4 linked regions of the Drosophila melanogaster genome follow. The protein of the gene in region 1 interacts with the protein of each later gene in a pairwise test. Each region holds a gene or a part of one and is shown on either strand. Other genes may lie near its edges.

Region 1 (4,906 bases):
TATGCTGGCAATTGCCAAATCACGGACTCAGCCTGGCTGATATATAATCTGATTTTGTGCAAATGCACAAGCATCTAATGCCGCTACTGCAACGGCGACCCATAAAGGCCTTTCACTTTTACGCCACAGTGCAGATCTCACGCATGGCACCCGATCCAGTCACTGTTCCAGTCACAGATCCATTTGCAATCCCCGTTGGTATTCCACTCCACAATCCCACACCCAGCGTTCCGATAATCGATTTCGAGTGCGAAACTTGAGATTCGCAGCCCACGGTTATGCACCGCATCTGTTGCATCACTTTTCACCACCCCCAATCGCAGATAGTATCTATTTTTTCCGCCCGGTGATCACTAAACCATTGTCAATGACATCAAAGATGCCGAGAAATTCCAGAGAGGCAGCTTCCGTTTTTACCTGGTTGTTGCAGGAAGTGCAAAATGGTAACCCGAGTACCCCAAAGGTGGCAAGAAAACCAGAAAGCCTAATTATGACAGCAATAGAAATTGAGACATCACACTCAAATTACTATCTTGCAACAATGTATACTGATATAAAGCAAGTAACTGGTTACAAGTACAGTGAACTTTGATAAATGTTGCTTACTACAATATCAATTACAAAATCAAAGTTTAATGTAATTAATTGCCATTTTTAAAAGATCTGAATCCGGTTAAAAATTAAATACTAAAATCCGGAAAACATTCGGTTCGCCAAATGCATACAAAATTATAAGAAACATTAATTAAGTTATAAATCAAGTTACCGTTAAATCAAGTTCTACGATATTAGATCTGCTAAGTGAATTTGAGATTTATTAAACTCAAATGAAAGAAATTGCTTTGTTACACTTTTGTTTATTGGGCCACAAAATGTTTCGAAATAAATTTTATATTGAAATTATACAAGATTAAAACCAGATTACCCCTTTGAACAATTCCAGATTTATAGACCCTTTGTTTAAAATGCGAGCCGAACGTATAAATATGATACTAATAAGCAAGTTTTTTTTTTTTTTTAATTAATGGAATCAAAACAAAATCTAGTTGAATTTCCATTAGGTAGACTCAGAATTATTGATATTAGGAATCAGGTTCGACCAAAACTGCTGACTTCTGAAACTTGACAAACAAAACATAACGACTTTGATAGACATATGACCTTTCGTTGAAATCTATATTTTTGGGAACAACTTGCTAAGAAGCCCGAAGACTTTTTATCCAAATAAAACAAAAAAAAAACAAGAAAGGATTGCTAGTACGTTCTGCGGGATTTTCCCAATATAAATTTCAATTCAAGATTTAGTTAATTTATTTTATTTGCTTTTTATGTTCCCAAATTGATTTGATCACATTTGCACCCATATTTTATAAGCCACTTTCAAGTTGGCGGCTAAAGTCACCAATACACACAGAGAAAAGCCGCAATTGCGTGAGTATTGGTGGCATGCCAGTGTATTGGTGAGCGCTTCCGCTTGCAACTTTCCGTGCCGCACTAATACACACAAATATAACCAATACAAGCGCAAACCAAGCCGAACTCAGAGCTTTGAAGAGAGCAATTAGGCTGGTTTGTGGTGGGAAAAGCTTTTGGAAACCGCTGAGCGACTTGGTTTGGCGGTGTTTTCAGTTTCGTTTTGACACAAAAACTCTTTGGGGGTATAAAAGCGCGCCACTGACCACAGACAGCATCCAGTCAAAGGTTTGGAATCGCTAGTGATTCTACAATCCTTCCACAGTCTATTTCGCTGTTACTGAGTTGCTTGTAAGTGAAGCCAAATGCCAAGTTAATTTTTGTTTGTTTCTAAAATGCGTGTAGTCTATGTGAAACGGAAATAAAGTTTAAGCTGTGATCTAAAAGTTATAAACTAATAACTGTGCGAGCCGTGTGCTCTAAATAACTTCAATTTTCCAAGGAACATTTTCCCAAAGAACAGATTGTTAATACCAATTAAAGTGCTGATCTTATAAAAAAAAAAATATCTATGCTGCATTTCGTATAAATAATCTTATTGTTTTCTTTGTTTACTTACAGCCTTGGCAAGTCCCATTAGACTCCACAATGAAAGTATTCGTAAGTACAACAGACATATAGTAATTAGACATATAGAATTTAGTTTGATATGTAAATGGGTACGAGTATGTGAACTATCGCTGTTGGTAGCATATTTTAGTGTGAGAAATCAAGTAATAATTCAAAGAATTGCATACAGAACAATGCTGACATGAACTAATTGGAACAATATAGCCTTTTGCATTGCAAATGCCTCACATTGTTTACCTGGCCATCTTCAACAACAAACAACTTCCTGAAACAATTCAATCCGATAAATTTCCTTAATCAAAGGTGAAATGCTCGCAAACGACCAAATTCAACTTGAACGACATGGCTAATAAGCGTTTATTAACTGAACGATCATAATTGGAGTGCCAGCCACGTTTATTACCAGGCCGTAATCAACTGGGTTCATGTGCTCAATTAAAGCCAGCTCCAAATGCATTCGCTGAGTTGCCCACTGCGTATGCGTAACGTGACGCCAGTCGGTTGAGGCGTATTGCGGAAACTGGGCGTGGCAGTGGGCGATGACTGCACTGCATCATTTATGCCAGGCACGCACAAATTTCACTTGACCATTTGAATCGCGAAAGAGGGCGATGAGACAACGGACGACACAATGCGAATCGGGCCACATATCGCCTATCGCCTTCGCTTTCTATTGCGATTAGGTAATCGATCAAACTAGGCAATGGGTGATAAAAGTCAACGTTTTCGTTAGGCAATTTATGTAGGTTGCATATCTTGAATTGTTTTATCATAGAGAAGCTTCAAATACTTAAAGAATAGACTATACGAATTTCATGATAGATGAGTTTGCACAGTTGAGAATTCGAAGATAGTATGACTAAATTTTATTTCATTTCATTTTGAAATAGATTTAAACTATATTTGCAAGGAATCAAGTTCTACTTACTAACTTAGTTATTGTGAAATAAACTATTAAGAAATCACAAATATCTAGAATTTTGCTAGAAAATTAATATATTATTATTATTTAAAAGTCTCTAAAATGCATAGTTTCATAACCAATCGCACCAACTCAATTCTTTGCAGATCTGCTTAGCCGCTCTGCTGGTGGCCTCCGCCTGCGCCAGCAAAACCGAGGGTGAGAAGGTGCCGCTGGAGAAGAAGCTGGACAAGCGCGGCCTGCTCGATCTGGGCTACGGCTACGGTCATGCTGGTCTGGACACCGGCTACCTGGGACATGGTTCCATCTCCGGCCACGGAAGCTACGGACATGGCTACGGACTGACCGGATACTCCGCACCCGCTGCCGTCGCCGTGGGCCACAGTGGTCCCGCGATCGCCGTTGGACACACTGCTCCCGCCGTCGCTGTCCACCACGCTCCCGCCCCCTATGTGATCAGCAAGCAGGCCGATGTGCACAAGACCATCACCATCACCAAGGGAATCCCAGTGCCCGTGCATGTGGACCGCCCCTATCCCGTCGTCCATGAGAAGCGCGTGCCCGTCGAAGTTAAGGTGCCCGTGCCCCAGCCCTACGAAGTCATCCGCAAGGTGCCCGTGACCGTTAAGGAGTACGTCAAGGTGCCCGTGCCAGTGCCCCAGCCCTACGAAGTGATCCGTCACGAGAAGGTGCCCGTCCATGTGCCCGTCGATCGCCCAGTGCCCGTTGAGGTGCCCAGGCCCTACCCCGTGCCAGTGGCCAAGCCCTACCCTGTCTACGTGGAGAAGGCCGTCAATGTCCAGGTGCCCGTGCATGTGGATCGTCCCTACCCCGTCTACGTGAAGGTGCCCGTGGTGTCCCACTCCGTGGTCAAGCACGCACCCACCGTTGCCGTCAGCAGCTACCCTGTTAGCGCCATTGGCCACGATGCCACCGTCTACTCCGACCACCATGGTTACCACAAGTAAGCGGACGGAATGGACCGGAAGCAGGCGAATCTATTGGAGCGAGCGGACTTAATGGAAATGAGCCGAAGGATATCTAGCAACATTTTCAATTATCTTCCCCACTCTCTCCACCTGTCGGCCTTCCTTTCCAAAACCGAGCGCAGAAGCAAACTCTTAAAATACCCCCTGGAAGTCAAACTTCCGCCCTGCCACACTCTCTGTAGCTGATAAGAACCCCCAAGATGAAACAAGCAATGCCTTTTGTAAATTATTTCCAATCCAGCCATCCAATGGAAGCCATTGTGCTGGGCCAAGAACTCCAGGTTTAGGATAAATACCAGCTAACTGTTTGTAAATTTCGCCATTTATGAACAGTTTAGCTGGCCAAGTTTATCAGTGAAAGGTTTCGGCGCACAATGAATTGAATGGATAATAAGAACAGAAATATCTATGTGAAAATCTATTAAGGACAAATAAAATAAAATGTATAAAATAAATTTCACTGTCTTTATCACTGGTTAGCTGCTGGAAATAGTTTGTCATAGGGTTCTTTGTAATTGTATATCTTGTAAATATATTTTGTAAATAAAGAGTATGTTGTTATTAAACAGCTGTCGTTTTTGATTTGGTGGCTACTCAACATAAATAATATTTAAAAAATGTATTTTTACTAGACTTTTTGAGGATCATTTTCTGGAATATTTACAGCTCTCTAATAATATTTATTAAATAGACGGAATGGTTCAAAAACTTTATGTTCCGATCACTTTAATAAAAAGTTATACGAAGACCCTTTAATCTTGCAAGGTAACAAGTAGGATACCAGTAATTATTTCAAGCCAAGAGATGCGAATTATGCATACCTGTAATTAAGTACAGCTTAAGTTGTAATAAATCAATAATACTCAGTCACAATAAAAACAGATGTCTTGACGCCTTCCTGATCCTTAAACCCGAAAATCCTCTCACCAGTCAGTCAGCTGAGATGACATGA
Region 2 (7,522 bases), on another chromosome or scaffold:
TTAACTTGCTAGATGGAAAATACATACATTCAACCATATAAAACATAATATTGTCACCATAATACTTCATAGATTTTTCCATTTAATTGATCTTCTTTCCTTAAATAAATTTCATTTAAATAATTTATAATACTTATGAAAGCTATATGATTCCCCCGACTTACTGGCTGACCGCATAGCTGCGAAACGCACTGTACATGAATATATGTACACACTACATAAGTGAGTCTATAGGTATATATTTCATATGTATGACAGACCGCAGTGACACACATTTGCGCCTCGGCAAGGTGCAATAACAAAGTTATTTATTATTATGCATAGGCAGAAAAACACAAAAAGTGTCGTTCGAATTGCATTTTTGCATCTTGCAGCTGTGCAAATATTTAGACTGACGCGTTTGTCGCTTAAGTCTTTCGTTTTTGTCGGTCCGTCCCCGTCTGTCTCGTGTGCCGCTGCTTGCGGCGATGCTTGTGGTGGCACTTACCTCTTTGTCATCCTGCTTGTGCTGATTATTGAAATACGTCTTGAGCGTCAGCTTTGTGCCGCAGTGTACGCATTTGAAGCAACCGGAATGGAAGAATGTGAAATCCTTTAGTGGCCCCACACGATCCACCTGATAGACTGTCTCGCTGCAGCGCAGGCAAGTCGACTCGTAGAAATTTGGCCGATACATAATGTTTGGCGTCTATGTATTCCTCCTGGATCTTTTCTTTTTCTGTGGCAGCTTCCGACTGGTTTTCGGTGGACCTGTACCTGTTGAGTTTGTCACTTTTCTTTTCGTCTTTCAATTTCACTTGGCGCGGAATTTACGAGTATATTCTGCTAGTTTTTCGAGTTTGCAGTTGCTGGTTCTGGGGGCGACATCATCCGCTCATCCGCTCATCCTCGTCATCCGTCCGCAGCTGGCAGAAGCTGTCCGAAACGAAAATGACCGAAAACGATGATTACTGCCTGAGTGGGAGATAGAAATTTCCTATTTGGGCTGCGATAAGATTTTTCGACCATCACCATATACCATATCAGGGTTCAAAAAACAAAAATTTTGATTCTGCGCAGGCGTTTGTCATGATGCGAGCCAAAACTTTCATTTATTTTGGCTATGGGCAGATTATTAATGAATCTTAATTAACTGGACACGGTGGACAAGAGTTTTGGCGTTTCTCAGCGGCAAAGGGTTAAATCCGTTTCGCCTTGCCATTGACCTCGCTTGGGAAGTCGAGCTTGAGATTGCTCCAAACGTGCCACAATTGAACTTGAGTTGCTGCATTCGTCGTACAACTGGCTCGTGCAACTTGCAACTGCCGCCTGGCAGCGGCACAAAAGTTGCATTTTCCATTTGATTAATTGACGCGATTGTTACTGGCAGGTTTCCTTTCGGTTTTTGTCTAGCTACAACAATTAAATTGAAGTGGAAAAGCAGACTGTGTGAAGGTAAGTGTGTGCGAGCAAGTGCATGTTACTTTAATTGAAATCATTGTTGTTGCGGCGTCTGTTGCTCTGACCAAAATTAAAACAAATGCGGCTCAGTTGCGCAGACAAAGCCAAAAGCCGCAGTCGAACTCAAAGTCATCGTTTTGCTTTCTTTTCAAGTTTAATGAACGTTGAGTCCGGGCGATGAATGGTGGGTGGTTGGGGATCGGTTGGGGAATGGGTGGTGGCAAGGCCTTATGATTAGCGCCAGTTGCGGCATCGAAGGTTGCTGATCTGTGGATTGCATGCCACATTGCAGCTGCAGCACTAATGGAAAATGGTAAGAAATTGAAATGGAAAAGGGGAAAACGCCAATGCAAATGCGGCGAAGGCCGCCAAGACATTTTGTAACACCAAATTATTTTGATTGGCTGTGAATAAAAATTTATTCCGCTTTTGAGGTCTGCCTTTTGATCGACCACATCGAATGTGAGGCAACAAATTGATGTGTGAATCAAGACGAGCGGGAGATTTGTGCCCTTAAAGACCATAAGCTCCATCGATGACTAACCTGTCCACAATCTCGTCTAGCTCTTTGGCCATAGCCCCCGCATCGATTCGAATATCAATCAACAACGCCCACATCGAGAGCGACAAAAATGGCAGTTTGATCTGTTGATGCGATCATAATCGGTGTGATTGAATGGTCCAATTACGCTTAGCGGCTGACATAATTAGCGTGTAATTATAATTGTAATGGACATGAATACGTGGATAGCCGCGAAGACCCTGCAAATTGGATGGGGCGGCTTTGACAAAACGCCTCGTGCGACTTACATCACCTATCACAATATCGTTCCATCATCCCATCATGCCACCATGGCCACTTGGGTGTGACTAAGAAGCTATGGACTGCAGGTAACCCGAGATGCCGCATATAATTTCGCACACATGCCTGTGCTCCGTGCCAGCTTTGGGTTTCTTTTCCACCTCAATGCGGATGAAATGCCATGCGAATGGAATATAAACATACAAAATAAAATGACAAACGCGAGAAGCAGTCACAAAAACGAAAGTTGCTCTGCGCGGGCAATTGTTTGCAATCGAGACATTTAAATAAATTGATAAGCACTCGGAAGCATTTGCATCGGGCGAACAAGTTCGTTGCCTAAGTCTTTCGTTTCGATGTGGTATCTCTGCTGTTGTTTTTGTCGTTTCCCTTATCGCTGGCATTGCTTAACGAAACGCTAACAATGACAATTAAATAAATACCAATAATAACAGTAAACTGCTGCAGCAGCAACACAAGTATAATGAACTTGAATTGGCATAATTGCCACCGCTAATCACATTAAAGCCAGATACAAAGATTTGATAAATGCAAAGAAACAACAGCCAAGCAGCAAACAACAAGACAAAAAGCAACTGGTTATTCCGCCTGGCAGTGAAACAATCATAGGAATTAAAATAAGATGCAAATGATTGCGTCACTGCAGAGTAGCGATATGAGGGGAGAAATATAAACTTAAAATGTGACAATGGCACTAATGTGAATAACTAACAAGTCGAACAGGGCAATGATTCCCCTTTTTAGATTATGGAAATAAAGGCAGATAATTTCAATGTGATGAACTTAAATAATTGTTAAATTAATAAACATTATAAAATTCAAACTGTTTTCCCATTTCGCTTTACTTTTAGGCGAACTATTTAAAGTATACAAAAGTACTTGTCAAAAACGTTTAACTGTTCTTGAAAAGTGTGAGAATTGGTTGGGCAAATTTGAAAAAATCAAGGTACTTGCTTTGCTGTGCCAATTTCAAAGTCGCTAATTGAATGGAACAATGAATTGCTTTTAGAAATCGCCCATTTCGCTGGCAATAAATTAGAAGCACAAACACCGAAAATAATTTATGAGCAAGCCACAATAATTGGAAGCCACATACGAAACCCGTGTAGTTAAAAGGGATGGAGGGCGGGTGCAACCAGCGCCCATGACAGGTGGTGTCGCCTCAACCACCCACCCCGTCTATTTGCGTTTGTATTGGTTTATGTGTGTGTTTATGCCGTGACGCAGGCCCAGCTTCGACTTCAAACGTCAGCCTGCAATCTTTCACTTTTTTTTCGTGTCTGCAGCCGCGGCGTCGGTTGTTCCAGTTTTTCCGTAGATTATTTCCCCAGCATCGCTATTATTTTTGTTATTTTCGCCTAGATTATACACACGCGATACATGGAGTGCTTATTCTAGGCCCTTTTTGACACACTTCTTTGCCGTTTATGTGTATTTCTATTACTTTTACGCATATATGCTAAACAACTTTCTTCTTCTGGTTGCAAAGGGGCGCGCTTTGTGCAAAAGTATTTATCATAAATTTTACACACACGCAGGCGCACACCGACACACAAACACACACACACAGAGCGATAGCCCCAGCGAGATCCAAGCACACATATTGCATACACACACACAGGCATAGAAAAAGGGGAGAGCAGATTGTTCAGTTCGCAAGGTCCATGAATCCGGAATTCCAATTCTGCGCTTTATCACATTTTCGGCATTATTTGTTGTGCCTCCAAAAGTCTCTTCTCCGAACAGCAGGTTTCGAATATTGGGAATGTAACAAAATTTCATTACCAAACACAACCACTCATACACAATCAGCACAGCACGACGACACACACGGACGCGTTCACTCACACTAGCACAGGTTTCGAGCCGCTTTTCTTTTCGATCCGTTTCTTTTCCGTTCGGCTCGAGCGCGATCACGATCGATTTGAGACTAGTTGCTTTGCTATTCGCGGAATGGAATCCGCTCTGAGTCGAGCTTTGTTGGGGGTAAAGCTTTTACATAGCTCCAAAAAGCTCGCTTCGCAAAGGCAACTGCGCGTGCCCACCACTACTATCGATAGCCGTCCACGGATCAGCCTAGGAGTTCCAGTAATCGTTAAAAATATTTTACTCTGGTCCCCGTTGGAAAATCTATAATTTCATTTGTTTTTTTTTATAAAGCCCTCGGCTACACTTCCTTGCTATAACTATCATTTCAGCTTAGCATTTTTAATAGTTTTAATTTATATAAATATTTATATAGAAAGGTTTTACAATTTTTTGTTCGTAATCTGCTGCGATAGATCGATAGGTGTTCAACGTTTGAACTTGAACATCGTGGTATTTTCAGGCTCTTCACCTGCGGTCTCACTGGCTGCAACAATTATCGAAGAAACGATAGGTTGAAATTAATAACAAAAGAGTGCAAAAGGGAAAACGCAAAAAGTTATGGGGAACCAATTGGCTATACAGATGAATAGCGATGAAGACGACGATTTTGATTCTTCGGACAACGAGCTGGGCTTCAACGTGATCAACTTTACGGTGAACGCCATGGATCTGCGCTCCGATTATTGCAGCAGCGAGATGCCAGTTATACGAGGCAAGCCCGATCTAGTTAAATTTCAGGTAATGACGAAATACCCCGTCCCCAGATAACAATTAATAGTAATTTATTGCCCACGCAATCTTCCAGAAAACTGATATGTACAAGGAGATCCAGGCGTCGAGTGGATTAGTGAGCAATCCGAACAATCGCTGGAACCTGGTGCACGCCCTTCAGCAGCGTGAGAATGGGTTGGCATCGCCGCACAGCGCATCGTTCTCCAAGAACCAGCAGCGCTACATATCCAATCTTTACATACCAAACAAAAAGGCCACACGCCTGATGTCGCTGGAATCCAAAATATTTGTGACCAAGTTCAATCGTTCGGGCAGCAAGTTGCTGACCGCTTGTCAAGGTCAGCATTCATGATTAACGCTTCCGATTGGCATTAAAACACGATTTTGACCCCTTCCAGATGGCTTTGTGCGCATTTACGATGGCGCCAAGGGCACTTATCACCTGCTGAATCGCATCCGAGCCCGCGATGTTGAGTGGAGCATCATCGATGCGGATTTTAGTCCGAATGGCGAGCACTTCGCCTACAGCACCTGGTCCCGCTCATGTAGGTACTCCGCCCAATCTGTTTATCCACACTAAGTTGTTTTCCCCTTCAGTGTTCATCATGCCCGTGAATGGGGGGGAAGACGACTGCCAGTGGATCGATGTCAATGGACTGCCAAGCCATAGGTTGGCCATCTTCTCGCTGCGCTATTCGCCAACAGGCGACAAAATCATCGGGGGCAGCAACAATTCCACGGTCATCGTGACCGACATTCGCACAAGAAACACACAGATCCTGCGCACCCACCGCATGCCCGGCAAGGATGTTAACTCGGTGTGCTTCCTACACGATAAGGATCCAAATGTGATAATCGCCGGCTGTGACGACGGCCTGCTAAAGGTCTACGACCTGCGCACCACCTTCCGTTCACGGGACCTGTCCAAGTCTGTGGCATCCTTCATCGGCCACTACGATGGCATCACCTACATCGATTCGCGCAACGACGGCTACCACGTGCTGTCCAACTCCAAAGACCAAAGCATCAAAATCTGGGACATAAGGCAGCCGAGCAATATGCGTAATCGCAGTCGTTCTAGACAGCAAGTCGACCCCACCACATGGGACTACCGATGGAACCGCGTTCCGCGGGAATGTAAGCTCGTGCCCGTTTTATTCTTGGAAAATTTTTAACGCCCACCTATCTTGTCGGCAGTTTACAATCCGCATAAGCCACTGGAAGGAGACTCCAGCATAATGACCTACCGCGGTCACCGAGTTACCAAAACCCTGTTGCGGGCGAAGTTCTCACCCATGGAGCAGACAGGGCAACGCTACATTTACACAGGCTGTGCCACCGGACGTATTATAAGTGAGTTCACACCTTTATCTTGCAGTATTTCTCTGATTTTCTTTCACAAGGCTATCTAAAATACATTTTCTAGCCAGTAAGTTCGCCAAGTATTTTTAGAAATTCTCTATCCATCAAAAATTTGGTTGTGAAACCAAAGGCCATTTCTGTGTTTCCGTTGATAAACATATTATGTTTTCAAAATAATCCAATTTTCTTACAGTTTATGATGTACTTACTGGTAAGATTCAAGAGGCTATTGAAGGACATAGGACTGTGATAAGAGATCTGGACTGGCATCCGGATCGCTCAGAAATCGTGTCTGGCTCGGTAAGCATCGAAATATGAGTAATATTCCTCTGAATAATAATGCACACTCAACTGCCTACGCAGTGGGACACCCATGTTCACCTGAACAACTTCAGCCGCAGCAACGCCAATCGTCCGGTAAAGCGATCACATAGCTCGGATCATGACAAAAAGCCCCTGAGAAGATCACGACGTTTGGCGAATCGAAATGTTACACCGGACTAGTTGTAAGGTTTAGAGTATAAGCTAGTAAGGTCCCCTTTGATATTACATTTCGTTACATTCATTCATAGTGGCTTGCCTAAGCGACGCACGAGAATATTCACCACAGTCGGGCCGGCTGGGATAATTGGTTCTATTAAATAAGACTGAAGAATATGTCACTCACTTGAAATGTATAGTTCAGTTTAATTAGTTAGCGTGTTATACAAAACAGTACATTAAAATGTAAACCATGAAGCTTACCAACTACCTACTTAAGTTGTTTATGTACAAAAACAATCATAATAAGAATCACGTTGAAATATATTTCGTTTGCTCGATCTAAATTCCTTGAAAGGCGACTCTCTTCTTGACCGCTCGTATGCTAGTTCTTTGCACCCTTACCGGATACTTGCTATGCTGTTTGCTTTTAAAATGCTCAACGGCTTTGTTTTTCCAAAGGTTGCGAATGCGCGTTTCATCGTAAGGACAGTCCACCACATTTAGCTCGACGTTTTCGCTGATTCCGTAGCCCACGATCTCGCCCAGCGACGAATTGTGAAACGCACTCATGTCGAACAATTGAAATTGGTCTGCACAGAATTTAGAGATATTAAAATGATTGAATGATTTGAGTTTTTCTTGGATCTCTTCCAGGGATAAGAGGTCCTTAGGCAGGTCTTCATCGGCTGACTGAACGCTTTTATTGCCGGAATTATTCTTGTCAGCACTTACGTCGTTCCTATCTTCGCCTCCTGTGTCCTTTCGATTATCGACAGCCGCCTCCACGGCGAGCGCAAATGAGGTGATCTCCAG
Region 3 (9,802 bases), on another chromosome or scaffold:
TTGTGTCGCTGATTTCAAAGTAAGTAAATACGGGTAATGTATGACCTCGTGCTTTTAATTTATATATTAAAGAACTACAAAATGCATTACATTTAGTTCATTAGATAAACAGCTTCTTGTTCGGTTGCCCAACTACTTTTTATTCAACATTATAGTTGTATGTACAAAAAGTTAGAATAATATATTTTCGAATTTTACGTACTATCAAATATTTCGCATCAAAAGTTAAAGTGAGTCTTCTTAAATTTTCCCGCCCTGCTTGAAATTCACAGGGAATCGTATTTAGCAGTATTTGTCATTCGCAGCGATACGCCGACACACCCTACCGATTGCAATACACGTCAACTTGTATAAATAAATAAAAGCCAGCCAAATAACAAAATCGATCATTGTGAGACTGAGAAAATGGGTGAACAAGGCGAGGAGACGGGTCAGAAGCTTACGGAGCGCTCCACCAAGGAAGCCTACTTCGAAAGCCTCGCCGAGTGGGCCAAACAGGCGACGCTGGCCCAGAATGCGATGCTCATGTTTCCCTACTACCTGATGGCCAACTACCCGACCATGTTCCCGGGACTGCCTTCTTCCGCTGCTCTCCAAGCAGCCGCCATGGGACAACCCCAAGCACTGGTTCAGGGCTCGGCTGCTGCGCCGGGAGAACCAGCTGCAGAGCCTCGTTTGCCTGCGCCAAACTTCAGCGGCCTGCGGATATTGGGCGAGGCGGCCCAGCTGGATATCATACAGCGTCTTGGCGGCTACGAGTACGTTCTGTCACCTTTTTGGAAGCGCGCCGTGGCGGAGACCATCGATATGTTCATCCTTTTCATTGTGAAAATCATCATTACCTTCGGGGTGGTCAACCTGTTCAACATAGAGTTCGATGAGGACGTGATTCGGCGCACCCTGGACCAAGAAGACCTCTTTTCGAACTTCTTTGACACATCACTAGATTTTATTTCGATGTCCACCGACCTCCTGCTAATCGAAATGCTGACCAAGTTCATCGTTTGCTGCTACGAAGCGCTGTGGACATACCTATACCAAGGGGCTACGCCGGGCAAGTCGCTGATGAAGATACGCATATACTATGTGGAAGCAGTGATGCCGCTTCAGGGGCCGCCCCTTCCACAGTTCGTCCTCCAGCCGCAGAGGGAGCCGATGAGGGCTCTGCTTTATCCGCCACAGACTCCCTCGCTGATGCGCTCCTTCGCCCGCGCGCTGATCAAGAACCTGGGGATGACCCTGCTCTTCCCCATTTGCGTGTTGATGGTCTTCTTCAAGAACAATCGCACCGCCTACGACGTCCTAACCAAAACGATTGTGGTGGAGAGCAATTCCATTGCCGTGTTCCGCACCCAAGGGCAAGCGCAGCGCAATAATCGCTGAGGACGGCACTTAAACCAGCCAAAGTGTGTAGGAATGGCGCACTCCTATGCACTTCCTATGCACATATAAATAGACTTGTTAATGATAAATTTAATGTCGTTATGTACTGCTGTCGTGTGAAATAAAATAAAATATCACATGAATACCTCAGAATCTGCACGATAATCAAACATAACCAGTAATCCCAATGATCAGTAGAGCTTCCGATATTCCTGTAGAGCTACTCTTCACTGGTACTAGAAACTGAATGATAATGAAGTTCTGATACTGAAATGGTGTGCAGGCGGTGATGTTTCGTTTATTGGCTCAAAGCTTTAGTTTCGTTTATTGGCTCACTTCACATTGACGTTCTTCAGGGTTTGGGCCACCACGTTGCCCTTGCCAGGAACATGGAGAGCGGCGCCCTTGTAGCAGGCAACCAGTTCGCCGTTGGTCTTCAGATCCGGGGCGCACGACTCAAAGATCTTCTTCTTGGGGTTGAGCTGGGCGTCTGGCTGGCGCGGATAGCCCTCGCAGTGAACCAGGTCGCCGGGAACAGCTCCGGCGGGCGGACTGAGCACTTCCACTTTTTCCGGTGTAGATGCGCACATGACCATAGCCTCCGAGGTGACGCCGCGCATTTTGGCCGGCTTCAGGTTACACATGACCACTACCAGACGGTTCTGCATCTCTTCCAGGGGCACGAACTTCACCAGACCGGACACCACGGTGCGTGGAGCCGCCTCGCCGCAGTCGATCTTCTCCAGATACAAGCTGTCGGCGTCGGGATGGCGACCCACCTCCACAATCTTGCCCACGCGTAAATCCAGGCGACCGACGTCGACGGGAGCCTCCGGAGCGGCGGCGGGCTTCTCGGCGGCCGGTTTCTTCTCCTTGGACTTCTTTTCCTTGGGCTCCTTGGCCGGCTTAGGAGCCGGGGCAGCGGGTGCAGCGGTAGCAGGTCCAGCCTCTGCCGGCATAACTACTGGGGCCGCACTGGTGCAGAAACCCCGGGCTCCAGGCACCGGAATCTGTTTCTTGCCATTTCGCAGCTCCAGCTGCACCAGCTGGGCCAAAGCCGCCTCAACTTCCTTGGCCAGTGCAGCGTTCTCCTTGATCAGCTCCTGCTTCTGGCGCTCCACAAGTTGCTGCTGGATGCCGGAAATCTGGGGGGCAGTAGGTTATCGAGTGTTCGCAGGCGCTGGCAGGCGGAAATACTTGCCTCGGCTTCAATGGAGTTGATCAGCGCCTCGGCGCGCTCGTTGTTGCTTGCAATCTGCTGCAGATCGGCCATTGTTCTTTTGTTTCTCGCGAATTTTGAGCAATTCTGGCCGTAATTTTTACATGCGGATCCCACAGTCGTGGCAGCTCTACGCAGCATTGCAGTGCTTCTTCTTGCCACGCACAGTGGCGTCGCGCAGCGTTGGACAGGTAGTTCGTTGGCGGAGAAGCGAGAGTATTTTTACATCAGCCCTGCCAGGGTCACTCTAATCGGTGCAACGCAAAAACGGCTGGCAGTTTTGAGCGAAATTTGTTAAAAAATAAACAATAAAAAGTCGCGTGGGCATCGGCGTGCGGCAGATGGATTACGTGTATTGCGGCACCGACCCCATCGGGGCCTCCGAAGACATACTAAGTGGGTCAAGGGGTCGCTTTGGGGCCAACGCTCACCCACACGCACACACACACGCAAGCCAGCTAAAGCTTTCTCCTTTGTTTTCTGTTTACTTTTTGAAAAGGTGTTTATGACGCGGGATCTGCGCCGGGAAACGGGCACTTTTCGCCCAGCTTCAATGGATTCAACATCGGCACCACCGATCCGGAATATGTGGAGCTTGTGCCCGTGCTTGCCGACGGCGGGGAGCACTTCGGCGTTTCCAGCGTGGCGTTCGACGACTACGAAGAGCTGCTGTGGATGGGCAACCAGGGCGTGAGTTCCTCGTCCAGCCTGCCAGGCTTACTAATCCTGAATCTTCGCTCCTTCCCGCAGGGCCACGTCACATCGTACTACACAAACTCCATGCAGAAGTACACATCCTTTCAGGTCCACGCCACCGACATTGTGCGCGACATCTCCACCCTGGACTCCGGAGTGCTGGCGCTCACGCAGACCTCGCTGCGTCATCAGATCCGCAGGGGTCTGCCCAAGTTTACCTTCAAGTAAGCCACCGCGCTGGCACAAAGATTCCCCGAAAGTGAGGTTTCAATTTCTTGCAGATCGAACAACATGAAGGAGATGGTGAGCATGCTGCAGCTATCACCGCATCGTCTGGTCATGGCCGGACTGCAGGACGAGCTTATCGACTTCGACCTGCGCACGCTCAAGGAAACCCGCATAGAGCATGTGGGTGCCGGCGGATGCACGGTGCTACGCAAGAATTCACGTTATCTGTTTGCCGGCGACCAGCTGGGAACGGTAACGTTGCGCGACCTGAACAGCCTGAGTGTTCAGCACACAATCAAGACGCACACCAACATCCTTTCGGACTTCAGTGTCCAGGGAAATCTGCTAATCTCTTGCGGCTACAGCGGAAGGCAAAATAACCTGGCCATCGACCGCTTCCTAATGGTCTACGATCTGCGCATGCTGCGCCTGATCGCGCCCATTCAAGTGATGATTGATCCGCAGATGTTGAAGTTCCTGCCATCGCTGACATCCCAACTGGCCGTCGTGTCCAGCTACGGCCAGGTTCAGCTGGTGGACACTGTGGAGCTCAGCGAGCCGCGAGTATCCATGTACCAGATCAACACCAACGGCAGCCAGTGCCTCAGCTTCGACATTAGCTCCTCTTCACAGGCCATGGCATTTGGGGACCAGTCGGGCCACATCAACATGATTGCCGCTGTACAAACGCCTCAGCCGCAGTTCAATCTCTACTCGCGAAGCACAGAGTTTGCGGACGTGGTGCCACAGCTGCCGATGGTCTCCATTACGGACACCAACTTTCCGCTATCGTCGGTCATGCTACCGCACTTGACGACGGGCACACAATGGTTCTCAGATTGGCCGGAGGAACTGCTGCGCTACCGCTACCACAGGCCCAAGACCATTGATCCCGAAGTGCTGAGCAACATGAAAATGCAGGGACCGATTGGATACTCGCCAAACCCACGCACCGCCCGTCGTAATCAAATTCCGTACGTGATTGAGCAGGGCGGCGTGTGCAGTCCGAACGGAAATGGAACTGCGGCGGCGACCAAGGCGGAGAACGGTGTGAAAATCATTCCACGGCGGTATCGCAAAGTCGAGCTGAAGTACACGAAGCTGGGCACCCAGGACTTTGACTTTGACCAGCATAATCAAACATGTTTCGCGGGGCTGGAGGCAACGCTACCGAACTCCTACTGCAATGCTATGCTACAGATTTTGTATTTCACCGACGCGCTTCGCGTGAAGCTGCTGGAGCATTCGTGCATCAAGGAGTTTTGCCTGTCCTGCGAACTAGGGTTCCTCTTCAACATGCTGGATAAAAGTACCGGTTAGTTTGCTTGTGTAACTTAACTATCCTTAGTTTAAGTATTTATGTGTGCTCCTTTCAGCTTCTTCACCTTGCCAGGCCAGCAATTTCCTGCGATCTTTCCGCACTGTGCCAGAGGCCTCGGCACTGGGATTGATTCTCACCGACCGCTCATCGAACGTCAATCTAATATCGCTGATACAGGCAAGTAATACCATGGTTTCCTAAGCAGATATTTAATTTATGCACACTCTCAGAACTGGAACCGATTCATTTTGCATCAAATGCATTACGAAATATTCGATTCTAGCAAGAACGCATCCACCTACAGCGGATCTGTGCAAACATCAACGAACGGTAACCACAGCCGAGTTTATCCTTTACAAATAAGTGAAACTTCGATTTATTTTGCAGCGGAAAACGCGGGCTCTTCAGAAACAAGTGGCTCCTCGGACCTTTACGATTCCATAAGTGGTGGGCAGGTGAATTAATGGTTTAACTAACACTCTAATCATATGTACGTATATGAACAGATGAGAACTCCAAGGAGGACGATCGGGAACGCAGTAAGATCAACGCAGAAACTGACATCAGTAAGATCTTTGGGACCAAGCAAATCTGTATAAACCGCTGCATCAAATGCCAAGAAGAGAAGATAAAGGAAAGCATTCTACTTGCCTGCAATTTGTCGTATCCCAACCACATCAAAGATAGTGATCAGTATTTCAACTTTGGCACCATTTTGAAGCGATCTCTCAGCTCCGAGAAGAGTATTCAGGCCTTCTGCGAGAGATGTAAGAAGTTTTCGCCAACCAATCAGAGCGTGAAGGTCGGGAGCTAACTTTATAGTGAACCAAGCAAGAAGTTACATATGTAATGCATCTGAATTTCAGGTGACTTCGCTTCCGCAAATTCTGTCCATTAACTGTGGCCTCAACAACGAAAAAGACATTACCTTCCTGAAGCGCCAGCTCAATCGCTGCAGCGAAAAGACGACTGTTGATGCGGCCGCTTCCTTGAGCACAAGCAAGCCGTGTCGATATGGAGCCAACTGTTCGCGAAGTGACTGCCATTTCATGCATCCGGATCGGTGAGTTACGACGAATCGAAACTGAATCAGTCGTCTTATGCATATTGTTGTACCTACTGTGCAGAAAATCTCCATCGCACACAAGCCAACCGAATGCTGTCAACAATTCTCCCAATGGACGCCAAAAGTCCTGGTTTCCCCTTACATTTACTATGGGCATCAATGACCAAGGTGAGGTGCAGGTGCAAACTCAATCAGATGCAAGCAGTGGCAAATCGGAACAGGAGGAGGAAACGGAAAAGCCACCAACAAAGGGCTTGGACAACAATCGGATGTACGCGCTGCATGCCGTGGTGTGCCAAGTCGATGATGGTACCCAAAAGAACTTGGTATCGTTGATAAATGTGCAGCGGCCATACCACACCATGAAACTGGCTGAATCTGCAGATGACCCTCAGAGTCAATGGTATATTTTTAATGATTTTAGGTAAGTTAGATCTCTATTGTGAATGGCCTTCGATTAATATTGCTCATATATCGCTCAACAGCATATCGCCCGTTTCGCCACAAGAATCGGTATGGTTCACATTGGATTGGAAAGTTCCTTGCATACTCTTCTACAGACACGTAGAGGATGACTCTGAGTCTGCTAGTACTACTAGCTCGACCGTCACGGAAAGTGAAGAAACCATTCCATCAGAGAGCAGCAGCGGCTCGCCAACAAATCTATCCAACCCTTTTCTAGAGGTTAATAGTTTAATATAGCATTGAGTCTGCTGAATGCTAATCTGAATCTTAATCCTACCAGGAAATTGTGAGTCCTATGCTAGGCAACTTAAGTGCAGACGCCACGCTGCAGCCCCTGCAGTCAGATGAAATGCCGCAGTCGGGTGATCTGGTCGCAATGGATGCCGAGTTCGTTACCCTAAATCCAGAGGAAAATGAGATTCGCCCGGATGGCAAAACGGCGACCATTAAGCCATGCCACATGAGTGTGGCCCGGATTTCATGTATACGAGGGTAATTCATTAACTGAAACTTAAAAATATTCATCTCGATAAGCACGGGTATGAATTCTTTACAGACAAGGCCCGGCTGAAGGAGTTCCATTCATGGACGATTACATATCCACCCAGGAGAAGGTCGTGGACTACCTAACTCAGTTCTCGGGAATCAAGCCTGGCGACTTGGACGCTAACTTCAGCAAAAAGCGACTGACTGCCTTGAAGTACTCATACCAGAAATTAAAATACCTCGTTGACGTAGGAGTAATATTTGTCGGACATGGTCTGAAGAACGACTTTAGGTGGGATGCCCTGCTTTGTAAGGAACCAATAGACCACTAAACTTCCATGTGATTGCAGGGTCATAAACATCTATGTACCGTCGGAGCAGATAATAGATACGGTGCACCTGTTTCACATGCCACATCATCGCATGGTTTCCCTAAGATTTCTAGCCTGGCATTTCTTGGGTTTGTATAGGGGTTTTCTTCGATTTGGAATTGTATCTAATTGGGTTTTCCTAATGCCAAAGGTACTAAGATTCAGTCCGAGACGCACGACTCCATCGAAGATGCACGGACCACTCTGCAGCTCTACAAGCACTATTTGAAGCTGCAGGAGGAGAAGAAGTTTGCCAACGCTCTCAAGAATCTTTACGAACGCGGAAAGCAGCTGCAGTGGAAGGTTCCAGAGGACTGATTCGTCGCCAAACCCGATGCCAATTCGACGAAACTCATAATCAACGTTATCGTCAGTACAAACGCTACACCGATCTGAAAAAATCCCGGCTTCTCCCAATTTTATTATGTTTTAATGCGTTGCTATTTGCTACGAAGCTCCTGGTATTTCATGTTGTATTTGTCTATCTTTATAACAAAATCAAAACAAAGCATAAAAGTTGTATTTCTTATCAGTGATGCTTTATTGATCGTTGATGCGAATCTAAGTTGCTTATCAAATCCACAATCGGGCTAATAGGCAAAAGCGGGCAACAGATGTGTTCAGGGATCGTGCACGTCAATCGATTCAATTCCTTTGAAATTCTCATTCGCCCTCCCCTATCACCAGCGGCGTTTGTGAATTTTTGAGATGCTGTCGCCAATTTGATGAATAACCTGATGTTGGACTACTGCGCACCTACTTATAAATACCACGACGAGCAAGTCAAGCCAGTTAGTTGTTAGAGCTCACCATTCACTCAGGGAACATAGATGACAATGCATTTGCTTGGACTTCTCGTGCCGATCGCTTGCGCTGTTTTGTGCGTTGGTGAAAAATCCCTTTACCATGGTCTCGCCCAAACGGAGACTAATCGACGATTCCATTGCTCCCTCAGCTGCCGATCTCCAGCGGACATACGACGGACATGATGGGCCTCACGTTTTCGGAACACCCGGCAATCAAGTCTACATTCGGGGGCAGAACGATGGCGTATACAAGGTGCCAGGAGTAGGTGGTCAGTTCCATCACGCATCGTCGCCAGCAGATCACGTCTATACGGATGAGCAGGGGATCACGTATGTGCACAAAAAAGACGCTGGAGGACCAGGTGGCTAAGAATCATGGTTCGAGGCAGTGCATAAATCTTATTATGGATACTATTTTAAGGAACACATACGCTTAGAGGACCAGGTCTAGCTGCTGTACAGCCCGCCTACTCCACTGTGCAGCCTGCGGGACTTCGCAATCCCCAGTTTCATGTGGAGCGAAGTGGTCGCACTGTGGATGTTGGTTCTGGAGGATTTGTCGTCCAAAGGAGCAGACGTAGTCCTCAGTTCCATGTGGAGCGTCCTGGTCGCACTGTGGATGTGGGTTCCGGAGGATTTTTTGTCCAAAGGGGCAGGCGTAGTCCCCAGTTTCCTGTGGAGCGACCTTGGCAAAGGGCTTTGAAGGACTGATTGTTGAAAGGGACAGCCGCAGCATCAAAGATGGCCGCGTCCAGGGAGAAAACTTCGTGGCTCGTGACGATCAAGCAGGAATTTGGGATGATAGTGTGTCGGTGTGGAAGCGTCCGGATGGACGAACTGTCTCGGTGGGCAATGACGGAAGTGTTATTGTTTCTGGACATGGGCACACGCTGCAAGTGAGTACATTGTTTAATTTATCAAGTTTCGCTTATGAATATACTTATATATATTTTTTATTTGCAGTACTAATAAATAATGGGAAGCAGCCTTTTAATTTACAGAGATTAGGTAGCTAAAATTCCAATGATATTAAATGAACAAGATTCACAAAAACATTGAACAATTTTTCTTTTTGAACATGTGGAAATTCTAGAAAACAGCAATACAGCACATAATGAAAATTAAGTAATTGCGATAATCGCAACCATTTTTGAATAAGCAATGGACTGGCATGATTTAAATACATATACTTTTTAATATACTTTTTTTTAACAAAACATCATTTCCTTAATGTACGAGGTATTCCCAGTCTACGACTAGGTTGTGGTTTCTTCTTCTCAGCGGGCACTTCGGGAACGCAAAGATCCACTTTGGCTGGCTCCGCTGTTTGCTTATCCGCTGGACCTTTTGACCTTTTACTGGTACGACTCTCATGGGATGGCTGCTCCTCGGGTTTTTTAATGGCCACACTCCTTTTGGTTTTTGGCTCCACTTTTTTGTTTCGCCTTAATTTTAAAGTCGTTTCAGGCTGCTCTTCCTCGACTTGCTCTTCATCTTCAGCTTCCAGCTGTTCTGCAGCTTTGCGGCCTCTTTTTCGTTTGGGTTGTGGATCCTCTGCTTCACTGCTAGGTGCACGCCTCCTGCGCCTTTCTTCCTTCTTCTCTATGACTAAGCATTCATCTTCCTTCTCCTCCAAGTCCTCTGGATACGTGGTGGACTGTGCGTCATCGTCTTCCTCTACATTCTCATTTTCATCCTCATCCTCATCCCGATCCTCAGCATTACTGTCTTCGGTAGAAATGTTGCGGCCATCCGAGATAC
Region 4 (6,311 bases), on another chromosome or scaffold:
CATAGAAAACTAATAACTAGAGAATCAGACCAACAGCCTAAAAGTTTGTTATATATTTAATGCCATTTTTAATTTTCGCCCGCTATGCATCATCGTATTGCAACAAACTTTGCCATATAGAACATAAAGTTCGCCGTTCTAAGAGCGGCTCGTGTTCGCATAGAAAGTGGGTGGCTGTTTCAGGTTAATTTTGCAGCTCGCTTAGTTTTTACCTTGCAGCATGGAAATTGAACGCTAATGGCTCTGCAACCATTACCTGCCCCAAGGACCCGTCACTGCGAATCTCAATTGCTGTTGCATGCAGCAGCGAATTTTGCACCTAACTTGTGGTGCTTCTTTGTAAGTGTCTAATTGAAAAAGTGCTTGGCAAGGCGAAATCTTTTCATATTAGCGGGGGGAAAAAAAAACAGTTTTTATGAAGTGCACTGCAAATATTAATTTTTCAGGAGGCTTAATGCTTTGGGCAACATCTTTAGATTGCCCACATCCTGGAGAGAACCCACACTGCGAGCCCTGACATCGACAAGGAGGTAATCCTGAGCAACACTTCCTTTGAGCCTAAACGAAAGGAAATGTATTCATTGGAAAAAGAATGAACATTTTTATACATGTGTATTCAGCAAATAAATTATTACCAAATTACTATTTCTCCCATGAATATATACTAATATCAATGTTTAATGGGTATATATTTAATAAAAGCATGATTTTCTTAGAAAATTAATCTAAGCCCAATGTGCTACTTCTTCCACTGAAAACCCGAAGCTACTTTACTGACACTGAAGATTTTCGATGTGCGCATTCTACTTCTAAAACTACTACTACTACTAAAACTACTCATTCTAAAACTACTGATTGCACAGGCTATAAATAAAGTAATCTTTAAGCGTATCTACTTTGAAATGGTTATTTTCGTTTCGAATGTGTAATTATACATGTGCTGCAAGAGTCTTAACTAAACATATATCCACGAAATGTACTATTTTTAAGCGTGCACGCAACCTTTTCTTAAATGCAAAAGAACCAACTTAAAGAAAGGAAGTCCTTGAAAACTGTTTAACAAAATGCATGCTATGATACCGATAATTATACTTAATGACCCTTAATTTGATTCCGGTTCATTTGCTTCAGCTTAGCTCACCAAAAGCTCGCCGAACGAACAAAAATCGAACTTGTAATTGTATCAATTAAGTGCTTGTGGATTCACCGAGCGGTTCTTTTGGTTCAACTTTTTGGAAATTCGATGCCCTTGCATATTTAGCCAGGGCAAGTCCTTTAATTAAGACTGACAAGCAGGATGGCTGAAACTTTGAAGAGCTTATGAATTATTTCCTTTGCAGGACTTTGACTCCTTCAACCGAACAGCACAGTCGGTTTTATGGCTTTAAGGGTATATTAATCATCACTCTTGAACAGTTGCTACTCATTTATACGTGTCTGAACTGAATTACAATGAATACCAATTATAAAATGCACAGGAATTAAGGATATTATTTTTAGAAGCTATAGGTGGCATGCCATTTATTAGTAGCGTTAGCTGAGTATTTGATAAGTTTATTCACTAGTTTTACTTTAACAGAGGGACTTGTTTTTAACCTTTAACAAAACCTAACAAAAGCTCATTCTGTAAGTATATAAAAGTAGTCACCGCTGATAAAATATATATTTTTTTTATTTAAGTCTATATAATCTAAGTTTCAGACGATGCTTGCTCTTCGCGCTTAGCGCTAGCAAAGCTTCGAGATTATAATCTCAGCCGCTTATAATCTGCGTAAGACCGCCATCATCGTAGCCACCTCCACCGCCGCCTCCGTAGCCTCCTCCACCTCCTCCTCCGCCGTTACCATAGCCGGGTCCAAAGTTGCCCGAATATACTGGACGACGGCCACCTCCTCCACCTCCGCCGCCGTTGTAGTATCCTCCACCGCCTCCGCCTGCGTTGTATCCACCTCCTCCTCCTCGTCCTCCGTTGCCACCTGTGTAGACTCCAGGTCCTTGGCCTCCGGGTGGATTACCTAATAGTGATATTTAAATCAGTTTCTTGAGGAGTAGTAGTTACTTAATTGCGCGCTAGCTACTGCATTTTTTACGCAAGCCAGCAAATGTACTATGCGCTATAGAAATTAAAAGCTTAAAGCTAAGTGTTCGGAATTATATTATTCATAAACTTAACCAATAACAAATGTTTAGAGTATCGTTAATAATCACTTAATGACTTTCGTTGCCAAGAAATACCATAATATAATAACAAATTGATTGTTCATTCAAACTTTCGCTAATGAAAACACAAAATTTCCTTTTAAACTATGCCTGATGTGGCAGCGACGAAAATCGTTGAACAATTTTTGAATAAATGGCCCAAATTAATAGGCATTGACTTACAGTCGTAGCAACCGCCACCGATGTAAACAGCCGCCTCCGTTAGAGCCAGTGCAAAAAAAGCGATAATCGCAAATGCCGTCAAGGTTCTCATTGTGGCTGGTCTATTAGAACGTCGAACTGGTCTGGACCAGGTACGAACCGCAACAGCAGCTTATATACGATGCACTCATCGATTCCGATTCCGATACTGAATTTGAATTCGAATTCAAACCCAAACAGACCTTATCGCTGCAAAGAACTATTGCTGTGCAAACAAACCACTACGTATGTATTAAGTATTAATCTCAGGGAATTGCCCGCGGATGGGTTTCAAAAACAATCTGTAGCGCATCAGTTGGTCAGTCGTATTGCATTCAAGATACTCTACGTTACCTTTTTAACATAACAAATACACAAAATCTGTAAAATCTATAATAAGTCAGACACTTTTCATTTCTACAAAGTTGCAAAGATTTATTTTTAATGAAATGTATTTGTTTTCAAATATATTTTTTGCTTTTTCATTGTATTAAGTATCTTATTATTTAAATATAAATTGTTAGCTTTAGAACTAAAGCTTCTACATTTCACTCACGAGTCACGACTTTCGGTTCTGTAACCAGTTTTCCTTAGATGTATGGATAAAATTTAATGGTGTGCGATTCTCTGGAATCGCTTGCCATTCATGTTTACGTCTGGGAATAATTGTAAACCGACTTTTCGGGGCGTGACTGTCATAAGTTTCTTTGAAGAAGTTCAAGGAAATCAACTACGTCGACCTGATGCCACAAAACCGTGTGCGGAAAACCCCATCGAATTGCGATTTGATAGTGTTCTAGTGTGAAATTAATTTAAATATATTGTTCAAATACAAATCGAAAGCTCCAAACGCTTAGGCTTATGCAAATCGATTTTGATTCGGATCGAATCAAGTGCCGGACTATATAAGTAGCGTGAGAGTCGATACGGTCATCTATCTATCGGCTTTAATATGAAGTACCTGACGTGTGTGCTGCTCCCGTTGGCTTTAATTCCGACTCTGATCGGCGGTAAGCTGGACGGGATTGCTGCTGACGCTAATTGATACACACTGAAATTATTTCCAGCTCATCCCAGCACAGTGGTGGTGAATGGCGTCTGTCTGACTTGTAAGTTGCGATTGTTTTGCCAGCTAGGCAATTGGACAACTTAATGAATAATAATATGCACTCGAAAAGGTCCCAATCCGAATGGTGAACCCGTCTACCTGGATGGCCAGCAGTACCGCAGCTTCTCCTCATCCCCTGGCGATGGTAATGTGGTCATTTCCCGTGGAAATGACGGTAGTGGCGGTGGAGGTGGCACCATTTACCGGAGGGGTGGTAATACCATCGTCAATGGCAGATGTCAGCACTGCAACGTGGATCCCTATTAAAGGCTTAAACAATAAAGTCTGAATATTGAATTAAAATTGCGCACATATCGATCAATCCATTTCATACTTACACTTGGCTATGTACAACATCATTTAGCTAAAAGCATTGACAATCGTTCAACCCAGTCTCTCTGCAAATTCGATGAATGTGATGGTTTCGAGTGCAGAGGGCATCATCTGATGGAGGCAAAAAATGGAAAAATGAGCGTTTTATATTCAGTTTTTGTTACCACGAAGTACACGTGGAGAAACATGAAACATCCGAGTTATTTTATGCTGCGAAAAAAGCGTGAAGAATGTTATAATTGCTTTTGGTCGAAATATTCAGTCCTGAAAATCAAATTTTTCACATTTAAAATAAGAATTTTTTTTAACGATTTCCAGTACCTCATTGCGTGCACTGCGAGCTGTCTGTTTGTGAACATTGGCTTCTCTCATCCTTCTCAAAAATAAGTGATACAAAAGCGTTACATTTTCAAAAGCCTTGGTTTCAAAACAGTCTGCAAATAAGGGAAGACCCACGGATTTTGTGACGGAAAAATAGAGAAATTCGTGCTGCCAATGGCATCGATTGTTTGAACTTCAGCTAGTTGCCACATAAACTGGGCTGGGAGCTGACGTCGCTGTCTCCAGAGTATTGCACAGCATCGATAATCAAATGCGAGTAACCAACCGTGCAATTTACGCCAGTGGATGTGTTGTCAATGAAAACGCTGGCCTGATGTAAGGGTGCTTAAGGTTGCGCGTGCCACGTGGCGTATACGTAATGCTACTGCAGGAACGGCAAACAGAAGCCTCTCAAATATTTGCTTTGAAACTAACTACTCGACAAACAGTAAACACTTAGTGCATACACACACACACACACACACACACACTTCCCAAGAATATTTTGTGCAGAAGTTTCGAATAAAACTGATGCTGTGTTTTTATATACAGAATAAGAAGGGAAAAGTTTCATTCAGGCTTAGCATGCGAAAACAATTAAAATTGTAAAAGGATTACTTAACAATCATACAATTTTGATTTAAGCGTATAACTTAAGAGAATAGTATTGATTCCCGGACATCCAAGAATAAAAACCTAAGCTTTATTTGCAATTAAAAAAAAATACAATGCATTGAAATCAATGGACTGCCCTTGCGGATGTGCTAAATTCAGAAAAACGCTCGACTGGCTTAAAATTCAATGAACATTTGGGTGGCATAACCATACCAATCGTAAAGGGTTTCGATACACTTTCTCTGATTTACTTTTAATACACTTTATTGGCAGAAATGTGTCGTTTCCTATCTTTTTGGGTCACAAATTGTTTACACGCAACTTTAGAAGCCCCATGAAGCTGAGGAACTCAGTCCTAGTCCAGAACAGGGTGGTTTATCTGCCTAGCAACTTAAGGACCTTGAGCTGGGGAATGTTCGAAATTGAATTTATGTTGACTTGTATTTGATTTCAGGTCAATTTCTGTTCTCTTGTGCCTAATTTGTGCGGCATTAGAGGGGAATTTCTGGGGCAGGTGAAAGGTGAGCCGATCGGACTTGTGGCAGCAGTGGCCATCTCCTTCACGCTTTTCAAATAAATTTTAACTTTTTTCTGTTTCGCCCCCGCAGTGTTTTGCCAGAAGGCAGAATTGATTTATTTGTACACCAATGTTGTTTGCCCTGGGGGCAGCGCCTTTGGTAATATTGTCACGTGCTTGGAAACTCTTATATCTGCCACTGGTTGAGCTTTATTTGAAAATCCCGGCCGCATAGCAAATTTACATAGCTTTAATTATTATATTTTACCCCCAACTCGCCAATGCTTGTATAAAGTCGCTCTTCTGTTTACTGCCTCCTTTTGGGGCGCCAGAAGATATTAATAAATAAATTAAATTCCATGTACCCAGCACTTCATTATCGACAGGATTATTCCTTTTCCCACCATCGAAATTGGAATTCCGACTTTGCTGAAAGCGTATAATTAACGAAAATGCGATAAGTGCTGGAATTATGCGGAGAAAAGCATCAGTTTCTGCGAAGTCATCCTTACAAATGAGACACGTGAAATAGCTTTGGTTGATTGTGAAATTTAAGGTATTTTGTGTGTGTTGCTAAGGGATACGACTATTCTATACTTCAATTAAATGAATTAATTTACTACTAAAGACCTAATTTATTGCTTAAGCGTTTCGACAGGTTTATATTTACTAAATCATAAACATATTAAAACGGATGCTACATAAAAAGTTTATGGGGTGACAAGGTCACGAAAAGTATGACAACTGCGAAAAACTTGAAGCTGACTTCTGCAGTAATTCGCAAGTTAAACTTTGAAGGGCATACACGAACAAAAAAAAAAGGAAAAAAGAGCTCAGAAGTGTAGCTAAAACTTTGAAAGGACAACTTTCTGCGATGGAAATTCTTTTGTAAATACCCAGACAACAGGTTGAATACTGCCAAACCAGCAAAACGAATTAACCCAAAAATTCACTTAATTGCAACCGGCAAAGTGGCCTCACATCTTAGGAAAAATAACCATATTTTTACCTATTAGG

The links.
Region 2: the proteins of Vajk3 (region 1) and Hil interact in a two-hybrid assay, tested with the Drosophila melanogaster proteins (one large-scale study listed by BioGRID).
Region 3: the proteins of Vajk3 (region 1) and PAN2 interact in a two-hybrid assay, tested with the Drosophila melanogaster proteins (one large-scale study listed by BioGRID).
Region 4: the proteins of Vajk3 (region 1) and BomBc3 interact in a two-hybrid assay, tested with the Drosophila melanogaster proteins (one large-scale study listed by BioGRID).

The regions. Positions count from the first base shown.
Region 1 is NT_033779.5:13,944,256-13,949,161, reverse strand, and holds Vajk3 (Vajk3), read left to right. Parts: upstream 1-1,685; 5' UTR 1,686-1,764; intron 1,765-2,034; 5' UTR 2,035-2,061; coding exon 2,062-2,073; intron 2,074-3,111; coding exon 3,112-3,933; 3' UTR 3,934-4,406; downstream 4,407-4,906.
Region 2 is NT_033778.4:20,614,019-20,621,540, forward strand, and holds the start of Hil (hillarin), read right to left. Parts: upstream 4,200-7,522; 5' UTR 4,049-4,199; intron 916-4,048; 5' UTR 677-915; coding exon 488-676; intron 1-487. Other genes in the region: CG9945 (uncharacterized protein), read left to right, coding at 4,691-4,870, 4,938-5,202, 5,263-5,409, 5,462-6,001, 6,062-6,217, 6,420-6,526, 6,590-6,730; CG11180 (uncharacterized protein), read right to left, coding at 7,049-7,522. UniProt on the Drosophila melanogaster protein: May act as a modulator of septin function during cytokinesis in the developing nervous system.
Region 3 is NT_033778.4:8,925,357-8,935,158, forward strand, and holds PAN2 (Poly(A)-binding protein-dependent poly(A) ribonuclease 2), read left to right. Parts: upstream 1-2,812; 5' UTR 2,813-2,943; coding exon 2,944-2,998; intron 2,999-3,101; coding exon 3,102-3,292; intron 3,293-3,352; coding exon 3,353-3,522; intron 3,523-3,579; coding exon 3,580-4,841; intron 4,842-4,902; coding exon 4,903-5,024; intron 5,025-5,077; coding exon 5,078-5,177; intron 5,178-5,234; coding exon 5,235-5,294; intron 5,295-5,353; coding exon 5,354-5,649; intron 5,650-5,713; coding exon 5,714-5,910; intron 5,911-5,974; coding exon 5,975-6,337; intron 6,338-6,398; coding exon 6,399-6,597; intron 6,598-6,658; coding exon 6,659-6,870; intron 6,871-6,934; coding exon 6,935-7,156; intron 7,157-7,214; coding exon 7,215-7,324; intron 7,325-7,386; coding exon 7,387-7,553; 3' UTR 7,554-7,747; downstream 7,748-9,802. Other genes in the region: CG8237 (uncharacterized protein), read left to right, coding at 406-1,383; AIMP1 (aaRS-interacting multifunctional protein 1), read right to left, coding at 1,716-2,528, 2,585-2,743; FANCI (fanconi anemia complementation group I), read right to left, coding at 9,261-9,802. UniProt on the Drosophila melanogaster protein: Catalytic subunit of the poly(A)-nuclease (PAN) deadenylation complex, one of two cytoplasmic mRNA deadenylases involved in general and miRNA-mediated mRNA turnover.
Region 4 is NT_033777.3:22,083,851-22,090,161, forward strand, and holds BomBc3 (bomanin bicipital 3), read left to right. Parts: upstream 1-3,332; 5' UTR 3,333-3,352; coding exon 3,353-3,410; intron 3,411-3,467; coding exon 3,468-3,509; intron 3,510-3,578; coding exon 3,579-3,775; 3' UTR 3,776-4,651; downstream 4,652-6,311. Other genes in the region: BomT3 (bomanin tailed 3), read right to left, coding at 1,753-2,015, 2,383-2,473.